Notamacropus eugenii: one gene and its partner. The protein of the gene in region 1 purifies or fractionates together with the protein of each later gene. This does not show direct contact. Links are inferred from orthologs where the notes say so. Each region holds a gene or a part of one and is shown on either strand. Other genes may lie near its edges.

Region 1 (9,929 bases):
GCCTCCCCACCCTGGGGCCTGGCATCCTGGCCTGGCAGGGCTTACCCCGGTCACGGTCCACTGAAGACCCCGGCCAGGGCCCCGGCTCAGCCCCAAGCTCCCCGAGACGCCACAGACGCACCAGCAGACGCCGCCGCCTAGTAACCAGCCTCCCCGCCCCTTCCCAGAAGGAAGTGCGAGCTACAGACCATCCACTTCCGGCGGAGGGGGGGGGGGGGAAGAGCGGGCAACCCGGGACGTACCAATCGCGCCTCCGGACCCTTGCCGTCTCCACGCAGGCCACCTCTGCGCAGGCCACCGGAGAATTCCTTAGGACCTTACCGGAAGCGTTTGTCATGCAAAACTTAGGAGATCAGAAGTATGTTGTGGAAGAAAGCTCAGGCTCGGAGGGCGCGGGCTCCCCCCCGTCTCTCAGGTCAAATATGGTATCGTCTCAGTGCCCCTTCCAGCCCAGAGAGCTCCGGGCCCGCCCTCCGCCTACACTTTGGCTTGTACCATTGGTGGGGGTGGGAGGTCAAAGAGATTGATTTTGCAGGTCCAAGGACACAAAATCCAGGAGAGATGCGGTGAAGACCGACACCCCTAGAAATACTAACACAAACTCTGAAGAACAGACGACAGCTGAGAGACACCTTGGCCCCTTGCGCTGAGAATTAAATTCTTCTTGATCCGAAGCACCCTGGCTCTAGTCCGTGCCGAAAGATAGATTTTCGTGGCTCTTTCTGATTCGTCATCTGGAAAGCACACTGACCAATAGGAAAAGCGCTCATAGAAGCTAGGCGGACAGGACCTTTACAGCCAACCAGGTTCCAGAGGGCGTGGCGTGACTTCAGCTAAGACTGGATTGACTGAGCCTCGCTGAGGTGTGGCGGGAGAACTGGAAAGTAACAAAGTCCTGGGATTTCAAAACGCTAATTGACTAAATGGCCGTTAATCCGGACTGCGTCAGGGGCCGGGTCTGTTAGTTATTAAGAGCCCTCTGCGGGAACGCTGCTCTAGGGAAGAAGCTTTAGGGTTAGGGTGCAAGGTTGCCGATGCCCCACCACTCCTACCTCTCTGGGACCTTGCCCGTCGCCTCTCTGCGCCCACGCCCTCCTGGATGTTTCCCTTTCTCTGCCCCTGGATCCCCCCACAGTTCCTTCTGCTGACAGAGGGGAGGTAGAGAGGCCGGGATGTCTCTCCATTATTGAGCTCCTTCTGAGCTACCAAACCCCAAGGGAGACCTCTCTTTGGGACCTGCCACTCTCACCGGAGAGACCCAGTACGTCCAGCGAAGACTGCAGGGAAACAATGTAACCTCTCAGAGCAAGGCCTCAGTTGTAACTTTCGGCACCCCCCGCCTCCCGCCCCGCCCCGAATCCCCCAGGCTGTTGGCAGCCGGGACTGCCCGCTGGTTACCCACTGGATTCATTACTCCCACCCTGCAGGGCTCACTTTCTCTGTCTGGACCCCTGATGACCCGGTGTAGCAACAAGGCCACTGTAAAGCTATGCAATGGGGCATTGAGGCAGGTGGGGGAGATGGGAAGAGGTTACCACCAGGTGCATAGGGGGAAGCCCCAGTCACTTAAAATCTTGTGAGTTGGCACAAACACTTGCTCATTCAAAAGCTCCTGGTGACTTCAGAGTTGGGAAGAGGGTACCTGAACCTGAACACCAGATCTGGGCCTGTAGGGAAGCTCTCTCTCCCTCAAGCAGTTAGAAGCCTGAACACTCAGAGAACAAAGGGAAAGGTTTGCTCAAGTGTGAACAGCAGGTAGTGCTGCTAGGGCCTTCTCCCAAAGGTGTGGCAGTACCCTGACTTGGGGATCTTCTTAGAGACCCCCCGCCCAAGGAAGAAGGGCTGGACATCTGGATTGATTATAGCACTGAAGCCTGTAGTTCTGGTGAGCAACTGATCTAGATTCTGAATGATGGAAACTTATAGGCGTTAACTAACTTCCCCCCAACCCCCATCACCTGAAAAAAGTCAAAAAACCCGGACTGCCCAATCAGGAGAGAGACATTTTTTAGCTCATTCTAAGCTTAACCTACTGTGAGGGATGATCTCTGAGGATCTCTCTCAGGAGTGAAGCCTCTTCAAGGGGTTAATTGTTTCTTGTCTGGTTGAAACAATGTGTCAAGATATTCTATACTTTCCCAGACTGCTCCCTATATTTTCCCAAGACTACCCCTTTTACTTCACCAGACTGCCCTCTGTATTTTCCCAGCCTTTCCCCGCCTTGTTTTTAGACTCATAACACCACCCCCTCCATTTTTTTTTTTTTTAAGGCTAATGTGTGAAAACTGTCTTTGTTCCCTGTTGCTGGGGTAGATTGCCTCAAATAGATTGTACCCTCAGGGCTTGCACCAACGAGCCCTGAGGAAGGAGGCTAGGGAGGGATTAAGGCCTATATAATCTGCTGAGCTAAACACAGCTCCGATCTCTTCCATTGGTGCCATCTTCCGGGCACTCTGAGGGAGCCCTTTCTCGAGAAAGTCAATAAACGAACTATTCTTTTTGCTAATATCTCTGAGTCTCTGGTTCATTGATAAGGATCTCTGTGCCCTCAACACTACCATAATGCTTTGCTGCTCTGGCATAAGAGACATGCTTTGCTTTCCTCTCTGAGTGAGCCCAAGCTCACCTGCTGGATTTTGCTGACTGGGAACATTCTTCTGCCAGGGACCAGGTACCTTGAACCAGACAATATCTTGAAATAGTGGGACTTATCTTGGTATTTTATGGACACTTATTTTACACCCTGTTATGATGTCCAAGTTTCATAAATCTATCCTACTAAGAAATTCCTTTCTCATATTATGGTTAACACATATGGAGACTATAATTTTGGCTGACTCAGGCATCCTGAGCCTGGAAGGGAGGGAAAAGCAAGAATTCCTTTCTGTAATTATATAAAACTGTCTTCAACTGGCCTTTCCTTGAACTCATTTTTCCAGATGAACTCCCATGCATATCTCTATATGCATGTTTGCCAGCTTTGAGAGAAATAATATACATATGCATCCTAATTTTGTTTGTCTTAGAGTGAATTTTCTAAAGGTTGACATAGAAAACCTTAGAGACCTAACTGTTTCATTTGTGCTGGACCGGAAGAGGAAAAATCCTTAATGCAAAAGACGAGACTGGGACAAAGTAGAGCCTGTGTTTGGATGGACACTGAATGTCCTGACCCCATTCCCTATCTCATCTGGGTGGATGGCCCAGCTGAGGAGGAGCAGTGAAGCTGCAGAGGTGAGAAGTCCAGGTCAGACTGCATCAGGAGAACAAAGGCAGGTGTGTCTGCAGTGAAGGCAAGGTGATTGTTACCAGGGCATGTTTTTTATAGTTTCCCAATACCATTCAACAAGAAGGTCCCTTGGGCTGACCAGCTATTATGGAGGCTGAAGAAGAAAGGTGCAAAAAGACCAGAGGAAGAGGATTAGGTCATAGTGGACCCAATGTACACTATTATAAACAACATCTGTCCCTAAGAAGTTACCTACTTACTCTCCTGTGACCTTGCTAGATAATATAAAAAAGATAGAATCCTTAACAAGGGAAAAGATGAGCTGCCTACGGTACTTGGGAACCATCTTTCCATATATTGAAACTTCCATCTTGTTTCTAGCTTCATTTGTAGCAAGAATGCCAAGGTCAATTTGATTCAGTTCCTTTAGCAGTGTGTCCACTCATTGACTCCCTATCACCCCCAGGATCAAAAAATAAAATAAAATGAGAGAAAATGTTTAAAAAAATTAACAAAATGAGTAGCGCAATCTTCCTGTTGCCTCCTCCACAGAGCTGTTGGAACAACAGTGTTGTCAAACAAAGCCCTACAAAAACAGGCAGTTAGGTGGCACAAGGGATAGAGAACCAGGCCTGGAGTCAGGAAGACTCATCTTCCTGGGTTCACATCTGGCCTCAGACACTAACTGTGTGACCTTTGGTGAGTTCCTTAACCTTGTTTGCTTCAGTTTCCTCATCTGCAAAATGAGCTGGAGAAGAGAATGGCAAACCACTCCCATGTCTTTGTCAAGAGAAGCCCAGATGGGGCCATGAAGATTTGGATGACACTGAAATGACTCAGCAGTGACAACCAAACAAAAGTGGTAACCATCATGCTCAACTGAGTAGTGGCCAAGGGATGAAGGTACTTCCTGGGATCCATCAGTAGGGATAATCCATTTCTTCCATGTCATCCAACCATGAGTAAGTACATAGAGAAGCATCCTCATTCCCAGTGGCTCACTCCCCTCAATTACTATACTCAGTGATTCCAAAGCACTGATCTCTAAGCAACAAACAACAAACATTTATTAAGCACCTACCATGTAGCACTTATTGCGCTGGGGGTATAAGAAAGACAGTGTTCCCTCAAGGAGCTCATGATCTAATGGGGAAGACAACATGCAAACCACTTTGTACAAACAAGCTATATACAGGATTAATAGATTATTAAAAAAGCAAATGCACTGGAATGAAGAGGGGTTGGGAAAGGCTTCCTGTAAAAAGTAGGATTTTAATTGAGACTTGAAGGAAGCCAGGAGGTGGAGATGAGGAGGGAGAGCATTTTAGGTTGGGGTAGCCACTCAAAATGTCTGAACTGGGAGATGGAGTATCTTGTTTGAAGAATGATCAGGAAACCAGTGTCACTGGATTGAAGGAAAAGAGGGTGTAAGGTATAGGAAGGCTGGAAAGATGTGGGGAGGGCTTTGAACAACAAACAGAGGATTTTGTGTTTGATCCATGAGGTAATAAGGAACACCTGGAATTTCTTGAATAGAGGGGTAACATGGTCAAACTTTCTCTTTAGGAAAGTCACTTTGGAGGCTGAATGGAAGATGTATTGGAGTGGGGAGAGATTTGAGGCAGGCAGAATCCCCAACAGGCTAGGGCAATAGTCCAGGTGTGAGGTGATGAGGGCCTGAGTGGTGACAGTGTCAGAGGATAGAAGGGGTGTTTTCAAGAGATTAGATATGGGGAGTGAGAGATAGTGGGGAATCAAGGATGACTCCTAGGTGCCTAGCCTGGGTGACTGGGAGGATAGTGTAAGTTTAGGGGAAAAGAAAATGAATTCAGTTTTTGGACACATTGAGCTTAACATGTCTACCAAACATCCAGATCTGATGTTTAAAAGGCAGGAGGAGATGTGAGACTGGAGATGAAAAGAGAGATTAAGACTAGATAAATAGCTTTGGGAATCATCAGCACAGAGATGGTAATTATGTCCATAGAACTGATGAGATCTCCAAGTGAAATGGAATGGAGAGAGAGGAGAAGAGGGCCTGAGACACTTAGTATGGCTGTTACCTGGACAAGGATCCAGCACAGGAGTCTAGGAAGGAGCAGTCACGCGGAAGATGGTGTTCTGAAGACCTGGAGAGGAGACAGTGTCAACACTGAGAATGTTCACAACGTCAAAGGCTACGGAGAAGTCAAGGCCAATGAAGACTGATAATAGGCTATTGCGTCTGTCAACCATATATGAACAGAGGTAGTAGTAGCCAGCACCTTGCTCCCCACCAAGAAGTACCCTGGAAAGGAATGAGCATCCCTAACATACACCAGAGAAGGGAGTTTTCCCAGATAAAATGAGAATGCTAAGAAGCCATTTTTAGGGTTGCCATATCACCTGCCCAATGTGGGACCTTCATTACCCCAATCTAGATACAGATTTGGAGGTCTGTGTCATCCTGCTCCCATCTCCAAAATCTGTTCTTTAACAAATTTTGTGTGTTTTTTCCTTTCACCCTTCCCTAGTGTAGACTCTAGGGAACCACTTAACTGGAGAGGCATTTGCTGAAGAAATTGAAATGTGTAATACAAACTGAGTCTTCTAAATGCTAAATTCCTTGAATTCAGAGAGTTCCCATCCCAATTGCTGCATCTAATTTACTGATAGAAGGCTGACTGGTGCACTCTCTCTCTTTTTCTCTCTCTCTCTCTGCTCCAGGTTGGTGGCCATATCTGCTTGCTAGAGTTCAGCCAAAGTGAAAGTAGAGATGGCACAGTTTTTTGCTGAGTGGAGATTCTAAGATTGAAACCACTCCTGGTCAAAGTCCTCAGAAGTGTCAATAAGGTAGGTGAGAGTAATGAGGCAGCATATCCTCCCACACCATGACTGAAGAATTGGGAGGCAGACCAGGAGTCCGGGCTCTCCTTGGGCAAAGTCTTCTGGGAGTGTTCATACTCTTGGAAAGTTCAGATATGTGAACTCATCAGAGAACAGGGGCCTGGGTTGGGCATGTACTTGTTTGACCTTTTGAGTAAACTGGCACACTTTCACTTGGGAAATCCCTAAGATGGAGGTGTAAAACTCTCACTGAGTGGGGCTGAACCAGATAAATTACAATTGGAAAATGTTTAACAAAATAAATAGAAACAGAATGATGTGAATTTGTGGTTTTTTAAATCAATGCATGGCCACAGAGATCCCTTTCTCTTGGAGTTTGACACTATTATTTTACAAGATGCTTCATTAGCTTTCTCTTTCAAGTAATAACACTGAATCAACTCAAGTCATAATGTGAGCATTTGCTGGTAGGCCAAGCAGAGAAAAGAAGATCAATGTCTTCCTGAGAAAATGAGGCCTGAGCTCATCAAAATCAGGAAGTTTTCCTGGTAGAAATTCCAAGTGGGTGAAAAAATATGAGCCAAATTTATAAGTTGAAGAAATGATATTTGTAAATATTTATTAAATGCAAAAGAATTTTTTAGTATTTAATAAAGTCCATCTTGAGCTTAGTAGAACACTGGCCAAGGGATGGGGGTGTGTGTGTGGGGGGGCTGACTAACAGCTGCTATGGTTAGGACAAGCTATCTGCTGCCGAAGCATCTGTCCTGGCCACTCCCTCCCAGAGGGTTTTTGTGCATAGCAAACATGACCCTCTTCAAACTAGTCAATCCACAAACTTTCATTAAACACTGACTATGTGCCAGGTACTGTGCTAAGCATTGGTGATAGGGAAGGTGAAAACATAGTTCCTGCCCTCCTGGAGCTCAAAGTCTAATTAGATACAGGTTAGACTGGCCATAACATCAGAGGGAAAGCACAGGCACACAGAGACCAGGAAGGTCAATGGATGAACAATACCTGTTGTCCAGAATGTCTTTCCAGCCCAAAGACGATTCTCAAAAGTGAGTACGTATTATGACTTCTCTCTTTGTTGAGTTATAATTGCTTCCCACCCTAAGCAGCAATCATCCACCACCTTGGATTCTACAGTTTCTCCCCAACAGAGCTGGAAAAGAAATCTTCGCCCTTGCTTTTCCTCAGTTTCATTTCCTGATGCTATGGTATGAATCATGCTCCCTGACCACAGTGGGTGTCAAAACGAAATGGAAAAAAGGGGCCCTGGGGGCTGCATACTGACTCGGGAAACCACAGATCCAAGTTTTCTAGATTCTCTTATATTTTTCCTTTTTTTTTGTTCATTTTTTTCCAATTACATTTTCACCTGGTTCAGGTCACACTCTTATGGGCTGCCTGTTTGACATCTGTTCCACAATACCAAAAGGTGAAGGCCATACTCAACAAAAGGAGGCTGGAGAAGACACCAGATAAATCATCCACAGGGCCACGTTTTCTCATTGTAATCACTCCTGTTTTGTTTTATGTACAGAATTGTCATCATTTCCTAAACTGACCAATCTATAAATAAATGTTTGTCTAGTACCTACCTCCTTTTCTTCCTTGCTTTCCTTTCTTTCTTTATCTGAAAGGAACTTTAAGAAATCACGTTGGAGGTAGGTGAGTCCAGAGGCGAGGAGGCCAATTAAGACCTAATTAGAATAGCTCAGGTGAGAGGTGTTGAGCACCTGGACAGGTGAAGGAGAGAGAAAAGGATGACATGAGAGTTGCCCTCGAGGTAAAATAACCACCTGATTGAATAAGGGGAAGTGATGAGTCCTGCTTGGACTTGTTGAATGTGAGCTGCCTATGGGATATCCAGTTGGAAATGTTAGCTTGGGCAGTTAGTGATGGTGGTTTTTGAGTTCAGGAGAGAGACGGGCTGGATCTCTGAGTCTCTTTCATGGAGATGGCAGTTGAACCTCTGGAAGCAGATGAGAACGACCTATATTTCTGAATCTCTTTCTCCCTTCCTGCTGGGTGAGCCATCCCAGCCAACAATGATTTTAAAAGAAAGGAGGGGAAGGGAAGCAGTTCAGCAAAACTAATTAACCCCTAGGTCTCCTCATCTGTAAAAAGTTGTTCAATTGTGTCTGACTCTTTGTGACTCCATTTCGGGTTTCTTGGCAAAGATACTAGAGTGGTTTGCCGTTTCCTTCTCCAATTCATTTTAAAAATGAGAAAACAAAGGCCAAGGGGGTTATGGGACTTGACCAGGATCACACAGCTAGTGAGCATCTGAGGCTGGATTTGAACTCAGGAGACTTCCTGATTCTTGTGTGGCTCAGTCTAGCTTCTTTGTAAAAGGAGTATGTTGCCCTCAGATGCTCTCTAGGGTCCTCTCCAACTCAAAATTCATGATCTTCTAATTAGGGAAAGGAAGGAGGGAAGGGGACAAGCACTTATGAAGTACCTACTATGTTCCAGGCATGAAGCTAACTAAGCACTTTTCCAATCCATTTCAGGAGCCTGTGTCTGAATCTGTGTACCCATTATGCCCAACTCTTCCCACACGGGAGACATTTTCTAAACTCTTCCTCAGGTCCAAGTTTTGTCATTACGATTGTTCAGTATTTGGTTTCATTTTTTTTCTTCTGTGTACAGAATTGTAATCATTCAAAGAAATGACCATTCAATAAATGTTTGTCCAGTACCTGCTATGTGCCAGATATTGGGACAAAAATAAGCTCTCAAAGAATTTACATTTTATCATTGTGCAACCTCCACATTTTACAAATGAAGAAATTGAGGCTCAGAGCAGAAGTCACTTAGCCGAGGTTAAGTGTCTTAGGGGATTCACATCCAAGTCTTTAGGCCCAAGCCTTCTAGATTGTAAGGTAGACACTGCCCATCATACTACATACATGCTACACCCAAGAAAACTAGACAATTTTTCCTCTCCCCAACTCAGCTCACATTCCACCAAAGAGGGTTAAAGTATATATGAGGAAATAGACTAAAGGTAGGCATTTCTAACAAGTGGGTGAGGAAAGGCTCCTGCAGGTTTACCCCTGAGCTGGGCTTTGTAGGAAAATGGACATTCTAAGGTTCTCTGCTATGCCAGATGAGGGGGCATTCAGACCTCCACATCTGGGATAACCTTTCCCCTCCCATCACAGCCCATTCCAGTTTGGGGATTCATTAATCTCTAATTATTAGGTTGGTTTGTTTCCCCCTGACCTTAGATCTCCATTTGCTCCTTTCAAATTTCCAGTCATTGTTCCTGATTCTGCCCTCTAAAATATCCTAAGTGAATCTAACATCCCCCACAGGATGGTCCTTCAGATGCTCTAGGAAGCTACTCTCCTGTCTTCCCTGAGTTTCCTCTTCTCCAGGATAAATAAACATCCATAGTGCCTTCCTCTGGTCCTCAGAGATCTTTGCATTCCAGGTCTCCTTTTTTAGAGTATAAGCTCCTTGAGGCCAGGCAGGGTCTTGATTGGTTGTGTTTGTGTCCCCAAGTACTTAACAGATGTTCTCTGACTCTCTCTTTTTTTTTTTCTTGAGGTAGTTGGGGTTAAGTGACCTGCCCAAGGTCACACAGCTAGTAAGTGTCTGAGACTTGATTTGAATTCAGGTCATCCTGACTCCAGGGCTGGTACTCTCTCCACTGTATCACCTCTCTGTCTGAGTCTATGGAGATGGATGAGACATTTTGAAGCTGTCTCTTCATTTGTAAAAAATGAAAGGGTTGGATTCTGTGCACTCAAAGTTCCCCTTCTACTCTAATAAGAATTGCTGGCATCTACATAGCATTTGAAAGTTCGCAAAATTCTTTACTTGCATTTGAGTCTCACAATAAGCCTGTGAGGTAGTT
Region 2 (9,700 bases), on another chromosome or scaffold:
GCATATTTTTTTTTGGAGGATTTGGATGTAGAAGCCTTGACTTTGCTATCTTTCTCTGATGGTATGTTACCTTTCACCAAAAAAGTAACCTTCTATAGTCTTATTTTTTCCCTTTTTGGGGCCTTTCCCCAGCCAGTTACTTGATTTTGAGTCCTTTGCCAAGTGAAGGGTATACTACCCTAGGCTTCAGAGGTTTTGTACAGCTGTTTTCTGAGATATCTCTAGGGATCTGTAAGTTCTCAGTTCCACCAAGGTGGCACAATCAAAGGACAGGTGTTTACTTGTCTCCTGGCCTGTGCTCTGATCCGTGAGCAATCACAAGCACTTTTTTTCTGCCCTGGAACTATGAGTAGGATTCCCTCTGCATAGCTGCTGCCAGTTCCATCACACCAGCACTTCTCCTCCTGCCAGGACCACCACTCAAGACTGAGACCCAGATCAGCTGCTTGATTTCCCCAGGGTCTTGAGGCTGAAGGCTCCAAAATTGGATCCTTCTGCTACAGTGACTGCTGCCACCCTGAGGCCAGGGCTGAGGCTGGACCATCCCCCCTCTCACCCAGGTGAAAGAGCTTTCTCAATGACCTTTGAACCTATCTTTGACATTGGTAAGTTGAGAAATCTGGGAACCACAGTAGCTGCTCATGATTCCATACCCTGAAGCCTGTATGAGTCCTGTCTGTGTCACGTGGGTCACACTGGGCTGCATTTTGCTCCAACCCCAACGTGATAGACCTTTACTGTTGGCCTTCCAGGCTGCATTGGGGTGGAAATCCATTTCTCTCTGTCATTTTGTGGCTTCTGCTGCTCTAGAATTTGTCTAGAATCATTTTTTACAGATATACTTTGGGCTATGGGGGGAGAGCTAGAGCAGGTCAGTCCTTCTATTCTACCATCTTGGCTCCTAAAAAAAATTTTTTTTAAACATACAATTTGAGTATGGGATCCCTGGGCTGGAGCAAGACAAATTAAATTCTGAGGTTCCCAGGGGAAATTGAGTAGGGACATGAAACAAAGAGAGATTTTTTGGAAGCTTTTTAAAAAACAGATTATTTCCAAGGACCACCTCTCATCCCATAGAACCTTCATTTGTTGTCTAGTCATTAAAAGTACTATCAGACTCTTCATGGCTCTATTTGGAGTTTTCCTGGCAAAGATACTGGAATGGTTGGGCATTTCCTTCTCCAGATCATTTTACAGATAAGGAAACTGAATTAAATAGGGTGAAGTGACTTGTCCAGGGTCACACAGCTAGTAAGTGTCTGAACTCAGATTTGAACTTGGGAAGATGAGTCACCCTCACTCCAGGTCCAGAGCTCTCTGCACTATGGCATCACCTAGCAGCCCCCTAACCAAGAAATACATTTAAGCAAAACAAATGACCTTATAACTTGGTCTGACAGTTTATGCTTAATTCTGTGTTTCCTCTATTAATAGAATCTGAGTTTCTTGAGAACAAGGACTGTTTTGCTTTTCTCTTTGTGTACTCAACATAATCCTCTGAACATAGCAAGCACTTAATAAATTCCTTTTTTCCCTTCTTTCCCTCCCTCCTTCCTTCCTTCCTTCCTAGCCCCTACATTCTCTATCAGTTGTTGGAGTCAAGATAAGAAAGTACATTATTCCAATATCTTCTAGAGTTGTTTTCATTTAAGTTGTATTGTGTAAATAATTTTTTTTGTTCTGCTTATTTTTTTGAGCATCATTTGAAATATTTACCTAAGGTTTTCTGGATTACTCAGTTTGTGGTTGATGGTGAATGGTTCCTGGAAATATAATGTGGCACAGAGATCAGGGAGTCAGCTTTGGAGCCAAGGATAGACCTCATTCCATTCCTTCCTTGGACACAGATGACTGGTGTGTCCCTGGACAAGCCACTGAACCTGCCTCTCATGCCCCTAAAGCTGTAGAATAGTAGCAACCTCAATTAAAAGGGGAGGAAGGAGAGGGAATAAGTATTTCTATAGTGTCTACTATGTGCCAGGCCCTGTGCTAAATGTTTTTTTTTTTTTCAAAAAAAAATATTATCTCATTTGATCTTCACAGAAACCTTGGGAAGTAGGTGTAATTATTATTCCAATTTTACAATTGAGGAAATTGAGGCAGAGTTTAAGTAATGCCAGTAAGTCTCTGAGGCTAGATATGTACTGTCAACCTGAATTAAGGAAAAAGCAGCAATGTAGCAAAAATGATGATCTTTAGTTGGGACAAGGGGTTGCAACTGGGGTTCCACGCAGTAACAAGTGCTGGGGATCCCGAAAAGGGGGCTGGATGTGGGGTTCTTATAAAGTATTTAGGCTGAGAGAGAGGCACTGCTGATGTGAAAAGGTAGGACATTATACTATTTCACCAGGTAAGCTGTTTTGCAAAGCAACTAAAAGTCCATAGAGAAAGTTTGAGAATCTCAGAGGGGAGAGTTTAGGACATTTACAAAAATGTCAGAATCTGGGAGTGATACTGTCTGGTAAGCCTCAGGCATTTTATGGGTCTGGGGAATGAGGATTAGGTCTGCTTCAGTCAGCTACATTTGATGGTGCTCCCCTCTTCCTGATTCCAGGCTCAGACCTCTACCCATTGTACCACCAACTTCATCATTAACTGAAGTTTCTTTTCAAGCATTCCCTAACTAGATGAACTCATAGGTCTAGACAACATGTATATACATATATGCATATGTGTGTGTGCATATGTACCTTCAGATACTTACTAGTTGGGTGACGGTAGGCAAGTCATTTCACCTGTTTGCCTCAGTTTCCTTATCTATAAAGTGGAGATAATCATATTACCTATCTCCTAGGGTGAATGTGAGAAGCAAATGAGAAATGATGAGTGTTTCTTCTACCCTCCCCACCATACCTAGTGCTTGACAGGGTCCTGGGTCAAAGGCTACATCTGAATCAATCAATCAATCAATCAATATTTATTTAGCTAAGAGAAGGTAGGGATTCAAAAAGAGATAAAACAATCATATGCTCAAGGAGCTCATAATCTAATTGAGGGAGACAAACATGAAAATAAATATATCCAAAGCAAGCTATACAGAAGACAAATAGGAAATGATTAACAAGGAGAAGGCTCTGGAATGAAGAGGGGCTAAGGAATTTAGCAGCTTAGTAAGCTAGCATCTCCCCCAGCTCTAATGAGGCAAAGTAGCCTCTTGGGGAGGCCGCACAGGGCTGCGCATGGAGTTAGGGGACCTAAGTTCCAAACTTGATTCTGCTACTTACCATACGGGTCACCTTGCTCAAGTCACTTCTACTCCCTTTGCCTATGTCCTTCTTTTGGAAAAAGAGAGATTTTGACCCAGATCTCCAAAGCAGGCATGGGACACAGGATCCAGAGGCTGAGGATCTGGGTTTACATTCCATGGCTGACACTTAGCACTGAGTGACGTAGGGCCTACTTCCTTCAGTCCTTCCTCTGTAAAATGCAGTGTGTGTGTGTGTGTGTGTGTGTGTGTGTGTTTGCGTGTGTGTGTGTGTTTGCATGTGTGTGTGTGTATGTGTGTGTGTGCACTCAGGGAGGAACTGAACCTCATGACCTCAAAAACATCACAGTTACAAGGAAGGAGCATTGCCATTGGAGGCATCAGCCTGGGTTCAAAGGCTGCTGCTGTCACTACCTGAGTAGTGACATTGGTCACTTACTAACTTACTGAACTTTCCTGGGCCTGAGCTGTCTCATCTGGAAGATGAGGGGTTTGGGTTATTTGACCTCTGAGGTCCCTTCCAGCTCTAAGAATAAAATAGCTAGTGTTTATAAAGTGCTTTAGGTATGTTATAGGCAGATATATGGCATGATGAGTGGAGTACTGGACTCGGAGTCAGGAAGACCTGAGCTCAAATGCTGTGGAAGCCACTTGCAAGCTGTATGATCCTGGGCAAGTCACTTAACCTTTGTTTACCTTAGTTTTCTCACCTGTAAAATGGGGATAATAATAGTGCCTACCTGAGAGGGTTGTTGTGAGGATTATATGAGATAATTGTAAAGCCCTTACACACAGTAAGTACCATATAAATATTAACTTACTATTAATATGTGAGGTGCTTTGTAAACTGAAATGCTACATCAATGTTAAGTTACTATTAACATATAAGGTGCTTTGTAAACTTAAATGCCACATAAATGTTAACATGTCAGATGCTTTGTAAACCTTAAATGCTATATAAATGTTAACTTACCTTTAACATGTGAGGTGCTTTGTAAGCCTTAAATGCTACATAAATGTTAACTTGACATGTCAGATGCTTTGTAAACCTTAAATGCTATATTAATGTTAACTTAGTTTTAACATGTGAGGTGCTTTGTAAGCCTTAAATGCTACATAAATGTTAACTTGACATGTCAGATGCTTTGTAAACCTTAAATGCTATATAAATGTTAACTTACCATTAACATATAAGGTGCTTTGTAAACTTAAATGCTACATAAATGTTAACTTGACATGTCAGATGCTTTGTAAACCTTAAATGCTATATAAATGTTAACTTACTTTTAACATGTGAGGTGCTTTGTAAGCCTTAAATGCTACATAAATGTTAACTTGACATGTCAGATGCTTTGTAAACCTTAAATGCTATATAAATGTTAACTTACCATTAACATATAAGGTGCTTTGTAAACTTAAATGCTACATAAATGTTAACTTGACATGTCAGATGCTTTGTAAACCTTAAATGCTATATAAATGTTAACTTACTTTTAACATGTGAGGTGCTTTGTAAGCCTTAAATGCTACATAAATGTTAACTTGACATGTCAGATGCTTTGTAAACCTTAAATGCTATATAAATGTTAACTTACCATTAACATATAAGGTGCTTTGTAAACTTAAATGCTACATAAATGTTAACTTGACATGTCAGATGCTTTGTAAACCTTAAATGCTATATTAATGTTAACTTACTTTTAACATGTGAGGTGCTTTGTAAGCCTTAAATGCTACATAAATGTTAACTTGACATGTCAGATGCTTTGTAAACCTTAAATGCTATATAAATGTTAACTTACCATTAACATATAAGGTGCTTTGTAAACTTAAATGCTACATAAATGTTAACTTGACATGTCAGATGCTTTGTAAACCTTAAATGCTATATAAATGTTAACTTACTTTTAACATGTGAGGTGCTTTGTAAGCCTTAAATGCTACATAAATGTTAACTTGACATGTCAGATGCTTTGTAAACCTTAAATGCTATATAAATGTTAACTTACCATTAACATATAAGGTGCTTTGTAAACTTAAATGCTACATAAATGTTAACTTGACATGTCAGATGCTTTGTAAACCTTAAATGCTATATTAATGTTAACTTACTTTTAACATGTGGGGTGTTTTGTAAACTTAAATGCTACATCAGTGTCAACTTACTATTAACATGCAAGGTGATTTGTAAACTTAAATGCCACATAAATGTTAACTTAACATGCCAGATGCTTTGTAAACTTAAATGCTCTATAAATTCTAGCTATTACTTTCTCGATCAGGGGTTGTTAGCTTTTGGTGTGTCATGGACACACTATGCATGATCCACACACGAAGGGCTGGGGAAGCCTATGGGCTCCTCAGAAAATGTTTTATGAAATAGAATCACAAAAGAAACAATATTGAAATAAATAGGGGAGTCTGTGGACCCCAGGTTAGAAATCACTGATCTAGAGCGTAGAGCTCTGGATCCAAACACTGCCTCTGATCCTAATTAGCCGGGTGACGTCGTCTGTGCAAGTCACAACGTCTGCCTCAGTTTCCTCATCTTTAAAATGTGGATAATAATAGTATACCTCCCAGGGTTGTAGTGAGAATCCAAAGAGTTCATGTTTGTAAAGTGGCTTACAAACCTTGGAGGGTTACATTAAATACTTCTGTACGATCCGAAGTGTCCCTTGACTCTATAAGAATTGGACCCACAGTACGCAGACTGAAACACAATGCCGCCCTACCACTTGATTTGTTTCCGACGAGAACCTATGGGACGAGGCTGGTGGGCGGGGCCGAAGAGAGCCAGAGGACGCTTGCGCCGGGGCTCAGTCGGCGCCCGCCCACCTCTTTTCTGCGCGCCGCCTTTTCGCCGCTGTTTCGCGCCGCCGCCCCCCCAGGAAAGAGAGCAGCGGAGTGTCCGGGCTCTGATTGGCCGCTTTGAAAGTCTACGGGCGCGCTGATTGGCGGAGCGGAGACACTTTAGCGCGCTGAGTTTGAAACTGGCCTCAGTCGGTGTCCCAGGAGCTGAGTCGGAGGAGGTACTCGTGCAGTCGCTGCAGCCCCCGCCGCTGCGCCTTCGGCCTCGGCCTCCTCAGGTAAGCGGGGCCCGGCCCGCAGCGGGGAAGCGCCGCCCGAGGCGGGCCCGGCCCGGCCCGAGGGGGGAAAGGGAGTGCCTCCTCCACCCCCCTCCCACCCACCCCCCCACCTCGGGCGGCGTGGCGGCTCCTCCCCTCCCGACCCCGTGCTCCCTCGGGAAGGACCCCAGCCGGGTCTGCGCCCGAGGAAGGGCTAGGACGCCCAGGAGCCTTCCACTGGTGACCGTCGTCGGCCCGGAGCCCTTCCGTTCCCCATGTGGCCGCTCGCCCCCCGGGGTGTGGCCGCCCCCGGAATTTTACGGGCGGGAGCGCGGACCTTTCCCTGAAGGCGCGGTGGGGCCCTTTGTTCTGACCCGGCTCCTCGGGGGTGGGGCGCGTCCAGGACCCCCCCGGCGCTGGCACGTCGAGGCTCCGGACGGTCCTGAGCGCGTCGGTGGCGTGGCACCCCTCCCCCACACCCTCTGTCTGCCTGCCACCTCCGCGTAGCCTGGGCCCACCGGGGGAGCTGTCACGGGTCACTCATTGCCAGATCAATGACAGGCCTCGGGCCAGGTCAGCGCGTTCATTCATGGACGCGAAGGCTTCCCGTAAGGGCTCGGACACCCAACTGACCCCCCAGGGCTCGGGCCTCCCTTCTAACTTAAAAAAAAATCCCCTTTAAATTGTATTTATTATAAACTTAAAAACTTCGTTCTGCTTACGGCCACCCCACTCAGTTGAAAAAAGAAAAAAAAAATAAAGCCCTGGTAAGAGATGAACAATGACCGGGTCTCGCCCCCTCTCCCCCTCATTCTGCCATCGCCGTCCCGCAGCCCTGTTTGGCACTGCCCCGTGCCCACCTCAGACCTCGGATCGATCTGAAGGCCTCTGGGATTGGGGTTCTGCGCCCTGAGTCCGCCTCAGGCCGTGTCTATTTTCCCATGTCTCTCTGAATGGTTTCTTCATTTCCTTCATTTGTTGTAAGCTCTTGTCTTTTGCCAGTTTTTTTTTTTTATCCCCCACACTTAGCACAGTGCCTGGCACATAGTAGGCCCTTAATAAGCATTTATTGATTCTTACAGCACAATAATATTCCTTGTATCATATAACATAATTTGATTAGCCACTCCTTGGTTGATGCCCTCCACCTTGCTTCCAGTTCTTTGCCACTACAAAAAAGAACTTGAAATATCTTCATATATCTTTTCATCTTTCATATTCTTGGAGTATAGGACTGGTTCAAAGAGTATGCACAGTTTAGTAACTTTTGCAGTATATTTCCAAATTACTTTCCAGAATGGCTAGTCTAATTTACAGCTTCACAAACAGTACATCCATGTGCCTGTTTTCCTACAGCCCCTCCAGCATTTGGCATTTTCTTTTTTTGTCCCCTTTGCCATTATCTGGGTGTGTGGGTTGCTTTAATTTGCATTTCCCTAATTATTAGTGATTTGGAGCATTTTCTTAGCATGGCTATCAGTCGTTTGGATTCATTCCTTCCTTAGAAACATGCTTGTATCCTTTGGCTAGTTCTCATTTGGATTCCTTCCTTCCTTTTATACATGACCAATAGCCTCCTAAGGTGAGTGATACAAATATGGTCATTCCCGTTTTATAGCTGGGGAAGCTAAGGGTTTGTGAGTTGGGAGTGACAGTGCTGGGTAATAAATACAGTTAGTGAGTTTAGCAATCTTTAGCCCAGAATTTAGGACTGAAAGTAATCTGGTTAGATAAATGTACTTTATGGATGAGGCAGCTGAGGGCAGTGACTTGATCCAAGGGCATACATGTACAGTAAGAATAATTGAACTGCAGTCTTAATGTTCTTAATAGTACTACATAGGGCACTGAGAAAGGAGCCTTGCCATGCTTTAGACGAGATTGTTGTAAAATACAAGAAGGTTGGGGCTGCGCTTGAATAGAAAGTGTTCCCTGACTGCAGGTCATTTGGTCCTTACGACTCTGATGCAAGTGCTGGAGGAAGAGACCAAGCCTCAGTAACTTGTCCAGGTTTACACGACCAGAAAATGTCTGAAAGAGTATTTGAACGTTATCTATCTAGGTTCAAAGAATCTCCCAGATCACTTTCCTAGACAACCAAGATAGTTTGCAAAAAGTAGATAGCATGGGACATAACTGGCCCTGCCATCTATCTCCTGAGAAATGCTAGGAGGAAGATGGGTGGCTGATGCCTGTGAGAAGACAGCTCTAGGCTACACAAGCTGTTTGAAAGGGGTATTCACCTAAAAACTTTCAAACTAAAAGGAAGACAAGTTAACAGATGGATTCAACATAAGATTAGTGGAAGACTGTTTCAGCTATTTTTTTCAAATTGAACTAATTTAATCAGTTTCTCTCTTAACATCTCTTACAGTCTGGCTTCTGACCTCATCATTCCACCTGAACCACTCTCTTCAAAGTTACCAATGATCTCTTAATTGCCTGATCCAACAGCCCTTTCTAGATCCTCGTAAACTGTTTTGTCACCTATGATCAAATACAAAATCATTGGTTTGGCCTTCAAAGCTCTTCATCATCTAGCTCCCTCCTCCCTTTCCAGTCTTCTTACTCTACTTGGAGTAAAGGTACAATGTGTCCCACTGTGACTGATCACACTAATGTGAACTTGGGAGACTCCCATAGGCCGGACACAAGTGATCTATAATAATCTCTGCCACATACTGGCTTCCTGGCTGTTCTTTGAATGAGACACTCCACCTTTTTTCGTCTGGCTGTTCCCTATGCCTCTTCATTGCCATTTCCCGACTTGCCCGGTTTCCTTTTAAATTCCATCTTCTACAGGAAGCCTTTTCCATTCCCTCTTAATTCTAGTGCCTTCCCTCTCATTTATTTCCTGTTAATCCTACATGTAGCTTCTATGTTTATTGACTGCCTGAATTGTATATAGTTTGGGCTTAACTGAATTTTGGGTGAGTGTAGTGGGAAGGGTTCTGTATTGGCCTTTACAAAGTGTACAAATGAAAATTGGTATCTGGCCATTCATGATACACTGCTCGCCTCATAGAACTAGTTCTAACGGGACAGAAGCAGCCAAGAATTTGGCTACCTGAGAGTCCAGTTTCAATTCTTTTTTACACTGCATTTATCAGGAAGTTTTTGTATTCTATGATAACAAAGGATAAGCAAAAGATTTCTCCATCAAAATACTGAGAGGCATCATGCCATCAGTGAGTAGTTGACTCAGAAGCCAAGAAGACTTAGGTTGATGTCTGCCCGTTGGCATGAACTGATGGTGGTGATGATGGGATGGTAATTTAGTCTTAGTGCTCTAGGCCAGAGATGTCAAACATGCTGTTGATAGATTAAAATGTAATTGGAAAATATTTAGCAACATAAAATACACTAAAACACAGGCATGCCTTGGAGATATTGTGGGTTGGGTTCCAGGTTAACATAATAAAGTGAA

What was found.
Region 2: the proteins of SPDYC (region 1) and CDK1 purify together in Homo sapiens (co-immunoprecipitation; 3 studies listed by BioGRID and IntAct, with this or other methods). This does not show direct contact. The link is inferred for Notamacropus eugenii from reciprocal best matches to the Homo sapiens genes SPDYC and CDK1.

The regions. Positions count from the first base shown.
Region 1 is NC_092873.1:17,874,192-17,884,120, forward strand, and holds the start of SPDYC (speedy protein C), read left to right. Parts: upstream 1-6,091; 5' UTR 6,092-7,060; coding exon of another isoform or gene 7,061-7,064; coding exon 7,065-7,123; intron 7,124-7,699; exon of another isoform or gene 7,700-7,908; coding exon of another isoform or gene 7,909-7,910; exon of another isoform or gene 7,911-8,092; intron 8,093-9,929. UniProt on the Homo sapiens protein: Promotes progression through the cell cycle via binding and activation of CDK1 and CDK2. Involved in the spindle-assembly checkpoint. Required for recruitment of MAD2L1, BUBR1 and BUB1 to kinetochores.
Region 2 is NC_092872.1:268,935,933-268,945,632, reverse strand, and holds the start of CDK1 (cyclin-dependent kinase 1), read left to right. Parts: upstream 1-6,033; 5' UTR 6,034-6,294; exon of another isoform or gene 6,295-6,780; intron 6,781-9,700. UniProt on the Homo sapiens protein: Plays a key role in the control of the eukaryotic cell cycle by modulating the centrosome cycle as well as mitotic onset; promotes G2-M transition via association with multiple interphase cyclins.